Mytilus edulis: one gene and its partner. The protein of the gene in region 2 binds, or shares a complex with, the protein of the main gene of each other region. Links are inferred from orthologs where the notes say so. Each region holds a gene or a part of one and is shown on either strand. Other genes may lie near its edges. The genes, in order: dynein regulatory complex protein 8-like and dynein regulatory complex subunit 7-like.

Region 1 (10,095 bases), about 89 Mb from region 2:
AAATATTAAAATGTAAAATAAAGTGCTTGTTATCACTGAATGGTAAAGATTGGGTGGTAGTAAAAGTGAATATACATTGTTTATTGTATAAAACAATAAAAAAAAACTTCATCAGCAACATTTTATATTGGCAAATTGAAGTTATTTACATAAAGTTATTGGCAAATAAAAATAGAAAATGACATCATAGTCATGTCTGGCAAATGTCCAACATACATTATCTAAAAACATTTTAGATAAGATAAGGAAAAAAAGCTTCATCAGCAACATTTTATATTGGCAAATTTCCAATGAAGTTATTTACATAAAGTTATTGGCAAATAAAAATAGAAAATGACATCATAGTCATGTCTGGCAAATTTCCAACATATATTATCAACTACTATTCTATACAAAGAAAGATAACTCCAATTGAAAATTAATTGCTATAGTACAATATTGTGCAATTAGATATTTCTTGCTATTGTGCAATACTGTGCAAATTGAAAATTTCTTGCTATCGCACAATACTTGATATGGAATCCTGATTTGGACCAACTTGAAAACTGGGCCCATAATCAAAAATCAAAGTACATATTTAGATAAAGCATATCAAATAAGCCCAAGAATTTAATTTTTGTTAAAATCAAACTTAGTTTAATTTTGGACCCTTTGGACCTTAATGTAGACCAATTTGAAAACTGGACCAAAAATTAAGAATCTACATACACAGTTAGATTTGGCATATCAAAGAACCCATTTATTCAATTTTTGATGAAATCAAACAAAGTTTAATTTTGGAACACCATTTGGACCAACTTGAAAACTAGGCCAATAATTAAAAATCTAAGTACATTTTTAAATTCAGCATATCAAAGAACCCCAAGGATTCAATTTTTGTAAAATCAAACTAAGTTTAATTTTGGACCCTTTGGACCTTAATGTAGACCAATTTGAAAACGGGACCAAAAATTAAGAATCTACATACATAGTTAGATTCGGCATATCAAAGAACCCCAATTGTTCAATTTTTGATGAAATCACACAAAGTTCAATTTTGGACCCTTTGGGCCCCTTATTCCTAAACTGTTAGGACCAAAACTCACAAAATCAAACCCAACCTTCCTATTATGGTCATAAACCTTGTGTTTAAATTTCATAGATTTCTATTTACTTATACTAAAGTTATGGTGCAAAAACCAAGAAAAATGCTTATTTGGGTCCCTTTTTGGCCCCTAATTCCTAAACTGTTGGGACCTAAACTCTCAAAATCAATACCAACCTTCCTTTTGTGGTCATTAACATTGTGTTCAAATTTCATTGATTTCTATTTACTTAAACTAAAGTTATTGTGCGAAAACCAAGAATAATGCTTATTTGGGCCCTTTTTTGGCCCCTAATTCCTAAACTGTTGAAACCTAAACTCCCAAAATCAATCCCAACCGTTCTTTTGTGGTCATAAACCTTGTGTCAAAATTTCATAGATTTCTATTAACTTAAACTAAAGTTATAGTGCGAAAACCAAGAAAATGCTTATTTGGGCCCTTTTTGGCCCCTAATTCCTAAAATGTTGGGACCAAAACTCCCAAAATCAATACCAACCTTCCTTTTGTGGTCATAAACCTTGTGTTAAAATTTCATAGATTTCCATTCACTTTTACTAAAGTTAGAGTGCGAAAACTAAAAGTATTCGGACGCCGGACGACGACGACGACGCAGACGCCAACGTGATAGCAATATACGACGAAAAATTTTTCAAATTTTGCGGTCGTATAAAAACATCACACAATTGACTTTAGTGTCAAAACATGTAAATAACAGAATATTCATGAATCAGCAACATTAACAAGCATTCACAGCAAATGCAAAACAATGAAACTTTAAAGACTGCACATTTTGTTACTGGTTTAATCATGGGCAAAGTCAGGTAGGGTTTAAGTACGCCTTTGTGGAACCCTTAAAATGGAAAAAATTAAACTTGGGCATACTAAAAATAGAAAAAAAATCTAACTTGCTCAGAGGTTGGCAAAATTATAAGGTTTACACCCTAAAACTCAAATCCTGGACCAACCCCTGATAATGCTGTAAAAACTGGTTGAACTAATCACTTTCCGAAGGAAAATGACTGTACCATAACATTCTTAATTTTAAAAGTACAAATGTTTCTGGAATAACCTTTAATAGGTAGCTCAAGACCAAAAAAGTTCAGAAGGCAAATGCATAAAACGGTTAGGCATAGAACCAAAACTTCAAAAGGGCATAAACTATCTAACAGTATTTAATGTATACTGAAAGGGATGTTATCTTAAGGGTCTAATCTAGTTTTGGAGAGGGAGAACTGCTTCCATGAGAGAGTATGGAGAAGTGGCCAATTTCTTTGAGAAGTGAAATTCGGAAACGTTTTGGTTGCATGGTGTTTTCCTGCTTAAGAGAATTTTTTTGTATATGCAACAAAAAAATATACTTGCAGTTGTTTCATATGATATTGTACAAATGTAATTATTGAAAAATCTTAATAAAGCTTTAGACAATATATAGTTGTTATTTATTTATTCATTCATACTGTCAACTTTAAATTAAACTTAAATAAAATGTGTTCCTTGGACATCCAGTAGTAGGCTAGGTATATCATGATTGCCTTCATTTCATGTGAAGCTGCCTTAATTTAGTTTTTAAAGTCCAGTTTATCTGATGAATTCCACATGACTGTACAATATAATTTATATCACAACTTGTCATTATTTTGTAAAACATTTGTGAATGTCAAGAACATCATGTCAGTTGTAAATTGGGATTCCTGTGAAAGATATAAGCTTATAAATGAAGATATGTGGAGCAAACTTCTTTCTTTTTTTATATAATAGATATCTTCTTTATTAAGAAATGGACCTGAATAAAATCCACTGCTGAATATAAATGTTTTATTTTGATTCAGTACACATAATGATATTACAATACAAACATAAGAGATTTTTGTCGAATATAATGCTGATCACAAGCTGGCCATGTGTCGTACATTTGCAATCACATTATCCATCAGCTGTCCTTCTACCCTTTTATTTTTCAATTTTTAGTCAATGAATATAAAAATTCCACAGATTATGCGAGATAAAAATCGTTGTAAAATGATAATTCAAACAGAGGCTAAGATTACTATTTGAATTGTTTTGAATGTTAATACTTTGCTATGAAGTAGTCGGCCAGGTAGATTTAGATTTTAGAGATTCTCAAATTTTTTTAAAGATTTAAATCATCGTTTTGCCAGCAAAATTTTAGGCTCCTGGCTGATCTTGGTTTTATTGCAATTATATAATTGAGAAGCTTTAATTTTATTTGTCTTGTATTTATGTAATATATGTATAAAAAATTCTTTGCAAAAACAAAGCAAACATACATTTACCAACATGACCAAACATATTACTTACCAACACCCCCTTTGTAAAAGATAATGTCATTTCAATTTCAGCTCCTTTAGATTCATTACTTACTATAGTTACATACTGTTAAAAAGAATATTGTGCACATGGTGACACCACCTAATGGTGTGTCTGATCTTTCAAATTAATATCTTAAAATTACCACATGTATATCTCTGTTCTATTATAAATTGTTCCTGTTTTAATTTGTAATGTATTCCTTATAGGGGGTCACATTTGTGAAGGGGGTCTGATCCAAGATCCCGCAAATTGTTTAGTGAGAATCCTGTTTTAGGTTTCTCTTTGCCGTAATAACTCATGTAATTTCCAATGTCCCGCTAGACTTTGTATCCCTTTTTCACACTTAAATATGAGACATTCATGTGTCAGGCTTAAAAAAATTGGCCAAATCGTGTCAACTTGGACCCAAATTGAGACCCATCCTTTACAAAATGTTGTCTGTTTAGTTGTATTTTTAACAGTGGCATATATTTATTTAGCATGAGTTTTGGCTATAAACCATAAAACCACAAGTTTTTGCTAACCATAATACAAGGTTCAGCCAACTATTTATTTCTTAAAATGTTCTGTATCCAGTCAGGAATATGGTAGTTGTTATCAATTAGTCCTTTTTTTGTATCATACATGTTTGGTTTTTTTTTTCAGTTGTTTTCCTCCTATATCATATATGTCGTTGATGTGTTTCCGATGTGTTTCCCCTGGGTTTTAGTTTTAACCAGTTTGTTTTTGCTGGATCGATTTAGTTCAATTGCTTATCGTTATCCTGCTGTTGCTTTAATTTATACAACTACCAGCAAGCTGTGCATCTGAAAATAATAACAATATAAAAAAAAAATTGGTTCTCGTGAAAGTTTCATACAAATATTAGGATAATTTATGATTCAAAACTGCAAATTTATTTCCTCGACCTTCATCAGTAAGGGTATATATTTATGGAGAAGTTGTTTAATAATGATGGGATCGTGATTGTGAATTCCTACCCGCGTTTTCCTTCTGTTCAGCATCACCCATCTTGTTTATATTGGTTGCTAATCAGTGACCTTGACTTGTAATTATCTCCCCCTGTGACAAGTGCGATTTGTAGGGAAAACGAATTTAGGAATCAATGACAAATCGTCCCACTGGAAAATCGCCCCACACCTAATCGCACCACTTTTCCACAAATCGCCCCACTCTGGTTTACCAACTCGCCCCACTTATGAAAAGGGTAAAATTCTATTGAAAATAGGTTGGATAAATTGTCCCAATTATGAAAAGGGTTAAAATCCTTAAGGTCTGCCAACTAGCCCCAATCTGAATCATGACAAATAGAAAAACCACGATAAAAAATTATTAATGCCAACTCGCCCCACTTATAAATTTCTCATTTATGTATGTTTTCAAACCATAAAAAAAACTTACCAATCAAATTTTCATCAACAATAAAACCTGCCTTGTCTTTTTACTAACAAAAACAAGACCCACGCTTATTGTACATCTTCATCTACATCATACGACGATCCATCATTACATTGATGACTATACGTCGGCGCATCGCAAACAGACACTTAATAAAATGTAATAACCAATGAGTGCAATAATTCAAAAATAATTTTGTGCAAAAACAAAACAAAAATTAACACATTTACATATTTACAAACAGGTTGGATATCTAAATATACTGACTCTGGATCAGTATTTTAAACTGATCCAGGGAGTTAACACTGATGACGTTTTGTGGAAGTGAATTTCACAGTACAACTGTGAATGGAAAAAAGCTGTACTTGAAGTAATCTGTTCTTGTGTTAAATGTTTGGTATTGTAATGAATTAGTGAATCTGGTGTTTTTGACTGGCTGTGGTAAAAGGTAAAGGTTTGGGTCTACTGCAATGAGATGGTGTGAGATTTTGTACAGCATAGTTACTCGATTGATGTTTCTGCGAGTTTCAAGTGACTTCCATTGAAGATAGTCAATCATGGGAGTGACACTACTGGTGTTGTGGTACCTGTTGGTGACGTAGCGTGCTGCCCTTCTTTGTACTTTTTCAATGTTGTTTTTTTTTTGTTTTTGGGTGTGAGGGGACCAAACTGAAGAGCAGTATTCTAAATTCGAACGTACCATGGATTTGTATGCTAAACTTTTTGTTTCTTCCTGGTTTATTTTTAAGTTTCTTTTAAGAAAGCCTAAGATCTTATTTGCTTTTGCAGTAATGTTGTTGATATGTGTGTCCCAAGACATGTTGTGAGAAAGGGTGATACCGAGATAATTGTGCTGACGGATTCTAAAATGTGGCCTTTTAATACGTAGTCATGTTTGAATGGTGACTGTGATCTTGTCACAGTGAGAGAGTTGCATTTTTCTGGATGGAATTGCATACCCCAAGTTTGTTCCCATTTGGCTAGGCAGTTTAGGTCAATTTGTAGTATGGTACTATCTTGGTGATTTGTTATGTTTCTGTATAAGATACCATCATCTGCAAACAAGCGTGTTTTTGGTGTTACTGCTGCAGGTAGGTCATTAATGAAGATGAGAAAAAGTAGTGGACCCAAGACTGAGCCATGGGGCACCCCACTTACCACAGGCATTTGACTAGATACCTCTCCGTCAAGGGCAACCTGTTGCGTTCTGTTATTAAGGACCCCGGCAATTCCAGGTATTTCCTCTTATGCCATAGTTATCCATCTTCCTTAATAGTTTTTTTGTGAGGTACATGTACCTTGTCAAATGCCTTGGAAAGGTCTAAAATAATAAGATCGGTTTGTACGCCATGATGGAGGTTACTAAGTAGTTCATGACATAAAGTAAGTAGTTGTGTTTCACAGCTGCGTTTAGATCTGAAGCCATGTTGATTATCCACAAGGATGTTATGTGTGTCCAGATGTTTCAGTATGTTACTTACAACAATGTGTTCAAGCAGTTTGCAGCAAATGCAGGTTAGGGAGACAGGTCTGTAGTTACTGGCTAGGTATTTTTCGCCTTTTTTTTTAAAATAGGGATCACATTTGCCTGTCTCCAGTCTGTTGACACATCTCCTTTCAAGAAAGATGTATTGAAGATGAAAGCGAGATGAGGTGCAAATTCAGGTGCAAATTGTTTAAGAATGCGTGCTGGTATTTCGTCTGGACCTGTAGCTTTAGATGTATCAAGATTTTTCAAAAGTTTTTCTATGCCATTTGGTGTAACATGAATTTCGGCCATAGATAGAAAGTTGTCTGATAGAGTTGGTATTTTTTTTTTTTTTTTTTTTTTTTATTATTTTCAGGTGTAAAAACAGAGTGGTTTTGTTTATTGAGTATTTCAGCTTTTTGTTTTGTGTCGTCTATCAGCATACCCTCAGATCTTAATTGTGCAACTCCCGAACTGTCTTTTTTGGTGGACCTAATATAATTCCAATTTTGTTTCTGTTTTTGCGAGGTTTGTAAGCTTTCGTCGTAACAAATGATGTTTTCCAGATATGTCCAATAAGCTTTTCTTGTCTCTTTCTGAATCAGTTTTTTTGTTTCCCTGTACTGTTTATTAATTTTACTATGCGATTCTGTTTTCATTTTTTTTGTAAATGAACGAATGGGCATTCTCTCTAATATTTACTTGAAAGTAACATTTGTCTTCAATGATTGCTCGTTAGGGTTGGATTATTCTTAACTTCAATGATTCAAAGACAAAAGTAACCAATCCGGTAAATGCTTAGTCCAAATAATTATGACGTCTGACAAGGCTATTACGTAGGAAGGCGTCGCAGAAAGAAAAAAAATAGCCTTGCCAGACGTCATTATTATTTGGACTCAAAGTAAGTGCTATGATAACAAATTGCTGTTAATTGAAATCCTTAATATTTAGAATTATAATTTCAGATTTAGTAAAACATCATTTGATTTCAATAATAATAATAAAATAAATTTTCTTTTTTTTTTGCATTCTGTGTAGATTAGTTTTTTTAAGGGGCGAGTTGGGGCGATTTGCCAGTGGGGCGATTTGGCCTGCTTCACGAATTTAGGAGTCTAAAAATGTATTCTGTTCTGGTTAAGAAAATCTCTCCTTCAAAGGAACACTTCGCACAATGATGAATAAAATGTTTATATATCTATATATACTTAAAAAGACATATATACTCAATATAGCATTCCACATTCATGGTCAATTCGGCACCAAATTATATTTTAAAATAAAAAAGATTTCAATTTTAAAATATTTTCATATTTTTGTGGTGTTTAATTTTATCAGTTACATTACAAGATCGTTAAAATCATCACATCTTATTATATTATAAAGCAGTTAAAATGGTTTTTTTTTCTAATTCCATGAATAATTTTTGATTAGATTTCTATTCGATTAAATTTTCTCAATTAAATAATTAACATGTTTTTTATATTATCACTGATCGCACATGGAGAATAAACTAGGAATTGATAGGAAACAGCAAATTAAAGTTATTTCTAGCATATTTATGTTCATATTGATTTGCAAAGCACGAAACTTATTGAAATAAATGGAAAACCAAAACCTAACGGATTTAGAGAAAAAAAGGTTAACAAAAAAAAAATCTTGTAACTGTTCTGTCCCCAAGAACTTATATGTTCCGTATGTCAAAACGAAGATTTTACATTGTCAGGTAGTGCCAAAGGCTAAAGATAACAGGCAAGTCGTGCCTACCTGACATTGCAAACCTCCACAACGAACAAGAGACGATGAGTATATATAGGACCTAAATCAGACATACTTTCATGATAGAGATCAATAAGAAAGAAATCAATATTTTCAGATTTACAGGTACAAAATTGACATTTCTACAATTTGACAATCAGAAATCCTCTTTCGAAAAACAACCGAAGTTCTGCTAAATTTATTTTAAAGAACAATAATTCAATCGGAAGAAACTGCTATTAAAGTTGATATTGACAAAGGGAGAATATGGACATGGAATAAACTTCCTTGTTCAGTGGCGGATCCAGAAATTTTCATAAGTGGGGGCCCACTGACTGACCTAAGAGGGGGCCCGCTCCAGTCACGCTTCAGTGATTCCCTATATAAGCAACCAAATTTTTTCCCCAAAAAGGGGGGGGGCCGGGCCCCCTGGGCCCCCCCTAAATCCGCCTCTGCTGTTGCCATCACAGGTATTTGTCTCAGATCCCCCTATATACCTTAATATAACACTTCTGACGAATCACGATAAGGATATTTTGCCGAATCAATGTAGAACCTCGCATTTTCCCGTTTCTAAGCCTCATACAAATAAATTTCATATTTCAAGACACTATACGTATATTGTCTAAATACAATTCAAAACAATAAAAGAAAAGAAAAGAAAATAAGAAAGAAAAAAAAAACGACAATGACAACTAATTACAGGTTGTATTCCCTCTGAATTGAAATTGTGTTGCTGAGAAAAATTATAAGGTTCTTTTCTTTTTTTTTTTAAATGCATAGAATATTGGTGATAATCATATCAAACATTTCTAATATAACTTCAAACGCAATCTTTTCATGAACACGATTTATATAGAAATAAGAAGATGTGTTATGATTGCCAATGAAACAAATAGCCATAAACACCAAAAAACTCACATTTAACCGTGTATAAAGTAAACCATAACAGACACCTAATTTCTAAATGTGCAAACATTCTAAAGAGAACATCAACGACCTGATTTCAACTACAGTTATGCTATGTGCTAAAATATTTTTGGGAACATCAACCAACAACAAATATGACTTATATTTTCTGACCTTCAGACAGGCACACAAGGAATGTTGCGGGTTAAACATGATTGTTTGAGCGCTCAGCTCTGGTCTAAGATGGAACACGTAACACAGACTGTACGACTTGTATATATGATGACTAACATCACCTCGTTTGAAGGAACGTTATTGGTTCTTTTGTTTTTCTGCATTTACAAGTTTGTACAAATTGTTCTGGTCAACACGAACAAAGCAAAAACAAAAGAATATTATACAGACAACACCCAAAACAATGCAAAATGAAGAACATAACGATAACATCATGAACAATGCAAAATGAAGAACATATCAACAACACTACAACAATGCAAAATGAAGAACAAAACGACAACACCACGAACAATGCAATTTGAAAAACAAAACGATAACACCCCAAACATTGCACGATGAAGAACATAACGATAACACAAAGAACAATGAAAAATGAAGAACATAACAATATCACCACGAACTATGCAAAATGAAGAATATAACGATACCACCACGAATAATGCAACATAAAGAGCACAACGATAACACCATAAACAATGCAAAATGAAGAACAGAAGAACACAACGATAACACCATAAACAATGCAAAATGAAGAACATAACGATAACACCATAAACAATGCAAAATGCAGAACACAACGTTAACATTCCCAAACAATGCAAATGGAGAAACACAACGATAACATTCCCAAACAATGCAAAATGAGAAACACAACGATAACATTCCCAAACAATGCAAAATGAGATACACAACGTTAACATTCCCAAACAATGCAAAATGAAGAACACAACAATAACATTCCCAAACAATGCAAATGGAGAAACACAACGATAACATTCCCAAACAATGCAAAATGAAGAACACAACGATAACATTCCCAAAGAATGCAAAATGAGGAACACAACGATAACATTCCCAAACAATTCAAAATGAGGAACACAACGATAACATTCCCAAACAATGCAAAATGAA
Region 2 (9,985 bases):
GGTAGTTTTTGATGAAGGTGAAGTCCAATCAACTTGAAACTTAGTATACATGTTCCCTATGATATGATCTTTCTAATTTTAATGCCAAATTAGAGTTATTACCCCATTTTCACAGTCCACTGAACATAGAAAATGATAGTGTGGATGGGACATCTGTGTACTAGGGACACATTCTTGTTTTAGAATTAATATCGGATGATTGGTTTGAATTTGGTAGAATGATTACAGTTTTTCTAGTTAATTTAAAAAAAAATGAATAGACAAATTAACAAGACCTATAAGTGGTTGAAAAGTGTTACATAAAGGACAGGTATACATATGGAATAAAAAGTTTGAAAACAAAATCCCTGTTAAGATGATATTCCAAATATATTTACCGAAATCTATCTTTTGAATAAAAAAAATTCTTGTATGTTTGTTCAAAGGATAGAAATATTGAGTATATTTGGTATATGTCTAAAAAAAAATTCCCATTTATCCCTGAATTTTAAAGTAAAAATGTCCTTTTAGTTATTTTGAGACATGATAGACAGGAAATTCAGGAATATTAAATTTCCTCTTCTTTCTTTTTCAGATCAGTCAGGAGATGGAAAAACAAGCTTAAATGCAAAGTTGGGCTACTAAAATTTGTTATTGATTATTAATAAATATATTTGTACAATATATGATTTATTATTTTGCTTAAGATATATTATCGTGGAGCCTTTTGTTTGCTAAAAAGTAAAATCACAAAAATACTGAACCCCGAGGAAAATTCAAAACAGAAAGTCACTAATCAAATGGCAAAATCAAAGGATAAAACACATCAAATGAATGGACAACAACTGTCATATTTCTGAATTGGTACAGGCATTTTCAAATGTAGAAAATGTTGGATTGAACCTGGTTTTATAGCACTAAACCTCTCACTTTTATGACAGTCGTATCAAATTCCATTATTTTTACAACGATGCGTGAACAAAACAGACATAATCAGTAAAATAGTCAAAATATGGTTACAGCAGTCATCACTGTGTATATTCTCTATATATCTTTTTGGTCTAGTATTGTTTATGTTATACATGTTTATTATGTTGAATGATGTCATTGAGCCAAAGGTCTAATGTTTTTTTCTTCCGATAGTATCAGGTCTGCACCATAATTGGATGAACAATGTTCTCTGGTTTTTCATCTGAACAGGCCAAAGCACTAGGGCACAGCTAAATAGATTGAAATTTTGGAAATTGGTGTCTGAAATTCTGAATGGATTAAAGGGGAACAACTGACGGTCACATAACAGGATATAAACATAAACATTGATATAAATAGACATGGTCCTCGTGCAAATGGATTTTTCTATGTCTCTTTGATTTCATGTTTTCGGTTAAAAAATAAGTTAATTTACAATTTTTCCTGTAAAAGAATGATTTTTTGTGGATCGAATCAGTCAATTAAATGATTCACCTTTGTTTCACTTTCAATGTTGACATTCTTTTCTTTCAGTAACCTAACACACTTCAATCATGTGTAATCCATCTCTATCTAAGGGGTTAAATTGAAGTTCGCATTAATACAAATTCAATGAAGTCGATTTATTTACTTGCAAGTGAATAACTAATCATCGAAGTTTTCATCACTTATTTTGACAAAATAGAACTACTGGCTGCTTAAATTGAATTATTATTTCACTGTTTCATTTTCATTAATGATTGAACAAAAAATTCAGAAATCAACTTTTGTCGAGCCTGCGATATTTGTTGCAGAAAGCTTGACATTGGGATAGTGAACCGGCGGCGGCAGCAACTTTAGCTAACTTCTTAAAAGGTTTATATTTTAGAAGGTGGAAGACCTGGATGCTTCATACTTTGTATATAGATGCCTCATGATACAAAGTTTCCATCAGTCACATGTCCAATGTCCTTGACCTCATTTTCATGGTTCAGTGACTACTTGAAAAAGTTAAAGATTTTTTGTAATGTTCAATTCTCTTATTATAAGTACTGTAAATTCAGAAATTATTGCGTGCATTTATTATTGCGATTTTGTCATTTTAGACTTAAATGTGGTTTTTATTTTTATGATTTTGACATTTTGAGAAAAATCCTGTTTAATTCATATAAAACATTTCAAAATGCGAGTTTAAATTATTGCGTTTACAACTCTGTTGCATTTTTCGCAATAATAAAAACCTCGCATTAATTTCTGAATTTTCAGTATTAGGATAACTGTATTTGGCATGTGCCTACCTTGCAAGGTCCTCATGCCCGTCAGTCATTTTTCTCTTGACCTCGACCTCGTTTCATGGATCAGTGAACAAGGTTAAGTTTTGGTGATCAAGTCCATATCTCAGATACTATAAGCAATATATAGGTCTAGTATATTCTGTGTATGGAAGCACTGTAAGGTGTACATTTCCAACTGGCAGGTGTCATCTGACCTTGACCTCATTTTCATGGTTCAGTGGTTATAGTTAAGTTTTGTGTTTTGGTCTGTTTTTCTTATACTGTATGCAAAAGGTCTACTTTATTTGGGGAATGGAATGATTGTAAGATGTACATGTCTAGCTGGCAGATAAGATCTGACCCTGACCTCATTTTCATGGTTTAGTAGTCAAAGTTAAGTTTTTGAATTTTGGTCTTTTTTTCTAATACTATATGCAATAGGTCAACTATATTTGGTGTATGGAAATATTTTATGATCTATATATCAGTCGTGCAGGTTTATTTTACCTTGACCTCATTTTCTTGGTTCATTGCTCAGTGTTAAGTTTTTGTGTTGGGTCTGTTTTTCTTAAACTATAAGCAATAGGTCAACTATATTTGTTGTATGGAAGAATTGTTAGCTGTACATGCCTGCCTGGCATGGTTCATTTGCCCTTTACCTCATTTTCGTGGTTCATTGGTCAATGTTTAGTTTTCTTGGTTAATGTTAAGTTTATATGACAGTTGTAATAAAGCTTTATATTAAGACTATCAATATAATATCAATGATTAGTAAAGAAGGCAAGACATTTCAGCGTGTGCACCCTTGTTTAGGTATCTTGTAGCTAAGTGACCCTTAAATGTTTTTTTTTTATCACTCACAATCTTTATCACACTTTGTAATATGACCTTCATTATAAGGAGCAACCATTTGAATTTATGGGGGGGGGGGGGGGGGGGGGCTATGGTTTTTTTTGGAAAAAAAAATTTGTTTCCATTTTTAGGAGAAAAAAATAATTTGTTTTTGATTCTGAGAAAAAAAATTTGTTTGTTTCACCCTCAGCTGCCACTATATGTAATGCTAAAATTGAAAGAAAAAAATTGTTTTCGACTTGGCGAAAAAAATAATTTGTCCAGAAAAAAAAACCATAGCCCCCCTCAGAAAATCAAATGGTTGCTGCCTAAATGCTCATCAATTTAAGTTTAACAGTGAAGTGCATTGGTTTTATTAGTCATGGAGGTCAAATGCTATAGATTTTAAAATATTTTATATTTCTTAGCATCATGATAAGATTTCCTTCCTGACAGGAATTTTCTGTGCTATTGTACATTTCACACAACAAATCCCGTCATCTTCTCCCCCTTAAGTAATCCTAGTCTTGGATAGGGAAAACAACCAAGACCCAAGGAATACAGATAGATATAAATTTTATGCAGAAAACATAAAAAAAAGACATGACAAATACAAATACAAAGATTTTTTATTATAGGATTAAACCGGGGCGATTAACTCACAAACTGAATAAAAGTCCTTATGTAAAGTTTGTGGCTAAGAGCCCCGTTTACACATCAATGACCTCTAGAAAAAATGTGTTTAATTCTTATAATTCTAAAGCCAAATATTCTCGATTTTTATTAACATTTTTTTTGGTGTAAAGCTACTATAATCACCATCACATGCACAACTGACAGGTCGTAACTAAGGAGTTGGCCGCCATCTTGACTTTCTATAATTCATTAATGTTCGATAAATGCAATGGAATCTAAAACAAAATAGCACCTTCCTCCGAAATTTCATTTTTAAAATGAGATATTATTCGAATTTGAAGCTAGACGTATTAAACGAAATGATCTTTCCCCTGAAAGTTTTCATTCGTATGACGTTGTGTTTTGCCATGACGACAATTCGCCAAATCCTTCATGAAATTTCGCAGAATTTTATTTAAATTAATTTTTATACATTTTCGTAGCTTTAGTGCATTCATTTAATTTCTTTTTTGTTATTATGCATTAGAATAGAAACAACTGTTATGCATTTGTTTTTTTAAATCTCAATTTGCTGAAATTCCCAGTATCCCTGCAAGAATGTGTATCACGCATGAATAGATTACGAAAGTAGATTTGGAAACATGGTTTATCGAAGTGTAAACCTAGAGAAAAATTCTAATTGACCAATTAAATTCAAGTATTTATAGATATGCAAATCATATAAGAATTATTGTCAAACATGATGCCCAATAATTTTAGCAGTCCAATTAAGTTCAATTTCATACAAGTGATTACATATTGATTACATTGATTATTTAACAATTAAACAAAATCAAGTCTTTCTCAGCAGAATAATTTCTACAGGAATAATATGTATAGTTTTACAATATAATATAGATGGACAAACTACTGGTGACGTAATTGTTTCTAGTATTTAATTTCTCTCTTTGAATAAAGTACACAATAAACTTACTTTTTAAATTATAACATTATCCTTAGATGACATTAACCATATTAATTTTGATTTAGTTGGGAGGCTTTTAAAGTTTTTGTTTACCTTATTTAAGTAATTTATATATTCAGATCTTTTATTTTCTAAAACAGGACACTGAAGAAGAAAATGAATTTCATCTTCAACTTCGGTGTTGCATAATTTACATATTCTATCCTCCACTCGAGGCCCCAAATATCTGCCTCTTTCAATTTCTAATTTATGTGCACTGACTCTGAACTTAGTGAGCAGTCACCTTTCATCGTCATTCAAAATTAATAAATATTTTTCCATACAAATATTTTCTTTACATAATCTGTAAGTTCTTAGTTTATTTCCATGCTGTTTATTTTGTCTATCATTGTAAAGTTCAGATTTCCAAATACAAGAATATTTCAGTTTTAATTTCCGGTAAATTAGGGATTTTAAATCCATCTTTGAATTTTTAACAAGTTTAAGATCTATATATCAAGATATTTCATAAGAATAACAATACAACTATACCAACTATTTTTGTTTAAACTATTTAGTGATGTAGAGACACTCAGAGCTTCAGAGAGAAGGATATCATCAGTCTTTAATACATATTTATAATATCTAAACATATTTAAAATTACTTCAAGAAATAAGGGACAAAACTATAATAGAAGAAGGGCGAAAGATACAAGAGGGACATTCAAACTCATAGATTAAAAAATAAACTGACAACGCCATGACTACAAGGCAATAGACAAACAGACAGACAATAGTACACAAAATACAAAAATAAAGACTAATCAACACTTACCCCACCAAAAACGGGGTATTAATCTCAAGTGCTCCTGAAAGGCACCCATTGTATTGTTTATGTTATTACAAACCCTGTAAAAAGTATAATTTTGGTAGTTATAATAATTGGGTTTTTTTTATCATTTCTTTCGTTTTTATATTAGATCTCCAGAGGTAATTACAAAAACAAACTGATTATAAAATAGTACTATTCTAACAAAAATGCTGAACTCCAGAGTAATGAAAAAAGATGAAGCTCACAAAACAGGACAAAAACGAACACCAACTAAGAATTTAACAAAATTAAACAATTCTGCACTATTCACATCATATTCATAAAAATTCAAAATAGATAACTTCAAAATTTAAGAGTAGTCTAGTGGTTTTAATTTTAAATATTTAGATTTTTTTTATATATAAAATTATAAACAATTATAATCCTGGTACTTTTGATAACTATTCCCAAACATAAAAAAAGACACCTACGTCCCTGGACTAAGTACTAGTCTTATTTAAATTTTCTGATTTGTAATATTTGAGATCAGAACTATGTCAAGCTTTTTTTGAAAGCTAACTTTGTAACTAAAACAAGGGAAATAACTGTAAAAGATTACCGGAAGTAAATTAATAGATTAATGCGCGACTATCTTTAATTAGCAATTAATTGTTTTATGATTTCCAGAAGTATTTTATGCAATTTAAATACCATGATTTGTTATGCTTTAAATTTTGACTAGCATTACGTACATATCTATTTTCTGAGCGATCATGATTTTTATATTGTCGATGCACTATATTTCAAAGAGAGTTTGTTGCTATGAGCGCGTATTGTGTTTAAATAATGAGTTGTTCGTCTCGTTTGTAAAATCATGGCTTCGGAGGACGAATTCGCTTTACCGAGTGAAGATACAAAGACCCCCGATCCAGATAAAGATGAAGATGAACTAGGAGAAGAAGCTGAAGGCAAAACAGCCGAAGAATTAACCGACGATGCTGAGGCGTTGAAAAAGGAGCTTGACAAAATAGTGGTGCATCCTCCAACGATTCAAGAGTAAGGCAATGTTTTGATGCATTATATCCATTGCCAAGAATAAGTTAAAGAGCGAATTGTAAATAAACAAATTAATAAAAAAAACTATGCCCTCAATATGGTCATCACCACAACTTAATTAGCTGACTGTCAGCATGGTTTTATATCTGTATCTGTATGGGTACGTCGTAGCTACCAATAGGGCTCTTCACGGTTAGTTCGGCCATATTGGATAGGGGGCAGATTTTTTGGAAGGAGGTGGAAATGGTATGAAAGTGTGGGAAATCCTATGTGTGTTTCCAAGCAACAGCTCTGTTTTAATGATGTTTTCCCGTATTTTTCACACCATTTTTACCTCTATTATGAAAATCTGCTCCCTATCCAATATGGCCGAACTAACCGTGAAGAGCCCTATTCTGGCTTTTATACAACGGGAGTGAAGGCGCCGTCGATTTATTGATGTTTCACCAGAGCAGATTTAAAGCTCTCTACACTTGTTGCGCGAACAATAGTGTCTTCTAGATGGTTCCAATTTACTATTGTGGACACAAAAAATGAATTTGAATGTTGCGGTGTTTTACTAGTAGGAATGTCAAAACACCTGGTATTGTTCCTCACATGTTTTTCAACTATGTTTGTGGCTTGAAAATTTTTAGCTGTGATGGTTCGTCTTGGTCTTGCTGATTTGAGGAAGTCGTCTGGATCAATAGCGGGGCTCATGCGTCTCAATTTTAGTTCCTGTAGCTCTATTTTTGTAAGCATGTTTGTTATGCAGCCTAGTTCTGTAGTCGCCTGTTATAAAGCGTGCTGCTTGCCTTTGTATTCGTTCTAGCTTGTTTGAAACTTGTATCTGTTCTGTTTTGATATCACAGGCACTTACTACTGCTAGTTGCTACATAAACTATCATATGATTCAAAGATACCAGGCTTATAATTTTGTATATCAAATATTTATCAGTAAAACCAGAATCAGAAAAGTGCCAAATAAAGAAAGAGTTTATAAAACTAATCCCACAGTGGATATCAAAAGACCAATATACATACAAATAAATTATATATACATGTATCCTTACATTGAGTGCATGCTTTATCTAGTTATTAGACCAGTCTTCACATCTAATGAATTTGATTTAATGCTGATTTTTTTCCAGACTAACAGCCCAGGAATTTGATCCAGCAGAATTCCCTGCTTCCTATAAAGACAATTTACCAAAAGAAAACTTGGTGCTACAATATGCAGAAAATTTTAGACTACAATATGTACACTTATACAGAGACAGGAAACCTCTTCTTCTCAACCCAATCAATGAATGTGGGACAGAGGTAATTAATTATGAATGAGGCTCTTACAAAATACATGTTTTTCTGCTATAAACCCGACCAACTCTAATCCTCAGATTATTTTGTTATTATTGCAAAAGCTCTTTTAAAATCAGATTGTTTTCCCTGTTTAAACCAGTTAAAAAATGCTTGAAAAATAAATTCATTCTCCTACATAACCTATTTTTCAGCATGATAACTGAATAAAACAGAAACCCAGGTATTACATGTACATGTAATATTATTTTGGTCAATAGATTAAATCACTTTTGTATAAGAATTTTCTAAAACCTGAATTATTAATTATATGACCACTGAGTTTGATATTTTTTTCTTGTATGTATGATGAGTTCACCATTGATCACTGCAAAAGAGAGTTTAGAAGGGTTTATTTAACAGGCTGTATTGCTTTCTTCATGTTAAAATTTCTATTTTATTTGTAAATTACATTTAATAAATGCATGTATGTATATATATATATTTTATTTGTGATTTTAGAAATTTGTATGTACAACCATCAGACCAACACAGATTGAATTTAAAGAATTTTACGGTTGGGAGGGAAGTTCAGAATTTGTTGCAGATTATCTGAATTTTGAGACATTAGAGCCTCCATATGAATTGGTAATTGTCATAATTTACAACAACAATTTTACATCAGTCAAATGGTAGTTTAAATTAACATCTTAATAATAAAAAAATTTATGTTTTATTTGGTTACAAGTCTCAATGATTTATTAAATTAAGTAGTAAATGCAGAGGTTTCATAATGCAAAATGTGAAAAATACAAAATATGAAATTTATTAGTTTGACTCATGTCATTTATTGACAAATTTATGTTATTAAATATCCAAATAGTAAAAATGTGCATTATAATCATTTTGATGTGAACCAATCCAATGAAAAATGTGTTGAGTTTCTGATTTAACAGTATTATTTTTTGTACTTTTATTACATCAAGTCAAGATTTAACCATAGATTATTTTTTTGTTAGTAACTATATTCTTTAAGCTTCAAAATATAATAAACTTGTGTAAAGATATAACATCCCATAAAAGAGAAACTTACCAGTACTCTTGATCAATATAAATCATAAAGAATACATTTTCTGTCCTAACAAAATTAAGACTTATATGGTTCTAGAGTCAGGATAGAGATGCCATAACATTTTATATTTGATTACTTGTTTCATTTGAAAAAATAAATGGTAGTGATAACATTGAATTGTATTGATATCTTTGTCTTTTTTTCCAGCCAAAGAGGTTGATATCGCCACCATCTGTTTTAAAACGTCAGAAAGGGAATTGTTTTGAGTACAGTACATTGCTGTGTTCCCTGTTAGCTGGAGCCGGTTACGATTCTTACGTTGTCAGCGGGTATGCTACACATGAGACATGTCTCGCAGACGAATCGAGGGAGATCTGTCCACTGATGAAAAAGAAAGAAGAGGTTTGAATATATATAAAATAAATATATAAAATGAATATATATATAAAATGAATACATATAAAATGGATATATATAAAAATGAATATATATAAAATGAATATATATAAAATGAATATATAAAATACAATACCACTTAATTGAAAAATTACAATATTCTGTTTTTTTAAACTTCGAGCAGAACAGACTGTCTTAATATTATTTATACCTTTAGAAAATGTAACTTATTGTTAAAATGCAGAACTTTGTTCTTGCACATTCATCATTTGTGTTATTTTGTCAAAAATTTTGTACTGTATACAAGGAAACTTCTGTTTGCTGGTTATTTTTATGCCCCACTTACGATAGTAGAGGGGCATTATGTTTTCTGGTCTGTTCGTTTGTCCGTTTCGTCTGTCCCGCTTCAGGTTAAAGTTTTTTGTCAAGGTAGTTTTTGATGAAGTTGAAGTCCAATCAACTTGAAACTTAGTATACATGTGCCCTATGGTATGATCTTTCTAATTTAAATGCCAAATTAGAGTTTTGACCCCAATTTTACGGTTCACTGGACATAGAAAATGATAGTGCGAATTTCAGGTTAAAGTTTTTGGTCAAGGTAGTTTTTGATAAAGTAGAAGTCCAATCAACTTGAAACTTAATATACATGTTCCCTTTGATAAGATCATTCTAATTTTAATGCCAAATTAGAGAATTTATTCCAATTTCACGGTCCACTAAACATAGAAAATTATAGTGCGAGTGGGGCATCCATGTATTGTGGA

Evidence for each region.
Region 1: dynein regulatory complex subunit 7-like (region 2) and dynein regulatory complex protein 8-like share a complex: the UniProt entries of both Homo sapiens proteins name them as parts of the nexin-dynein regulatory complex. The link is inferred for Mytilus edulis from reciprocal best matches to the Homo sapiens genes DRC7 and DRC8.

Annotation. Positions count from the first base shown.
Region 1 is NC_092346.1:91,314,506-91,324,600, forward strand, and holds the start of dynein regulatory complex protein 8-like, read right to left. Parts: upstream 4,502-10,095; 5' UTR 4,428-4,501; coding exon 4,397-4,427; intron 1-4,396. UniProt on the Homo sapiens protein: Component of the nexin-dynein regulatory complex (N-DRC), a key regulator of ciliary/flagellar motility which maintains the alignment and integrity of the distal axoneme and regulates microtubule sliding in motile axonemes.
Region 2 is NC_092346.1:2,214,055-2,224,039, reverse strand, and holds the start of dynein regulatory complex subunit 7-like, read left to right. Parts: upstream 1-6,256; 5' UTR 6,257-6,296; coding exon 6,297-6,478; intron 6,479-7,608; coding exon 7,609-7,780; intron 7,781-8,275; coding exon 8,276-8,401; intron 8,402-9,032; coding exon 9,033-9,227; intron 9,228-9,985. Other genes in the region: kanadaptin-like, read left to right, coding at 575-624. UniProt on the Homo sapiens protein: Component of the nexin-dynein regulatory complex (N-DRC) a key regulator of ciliary/flagellar motility which maintains the alignment and integrity of the distal axoneme and regulates microtubule sliding in motile axonemes.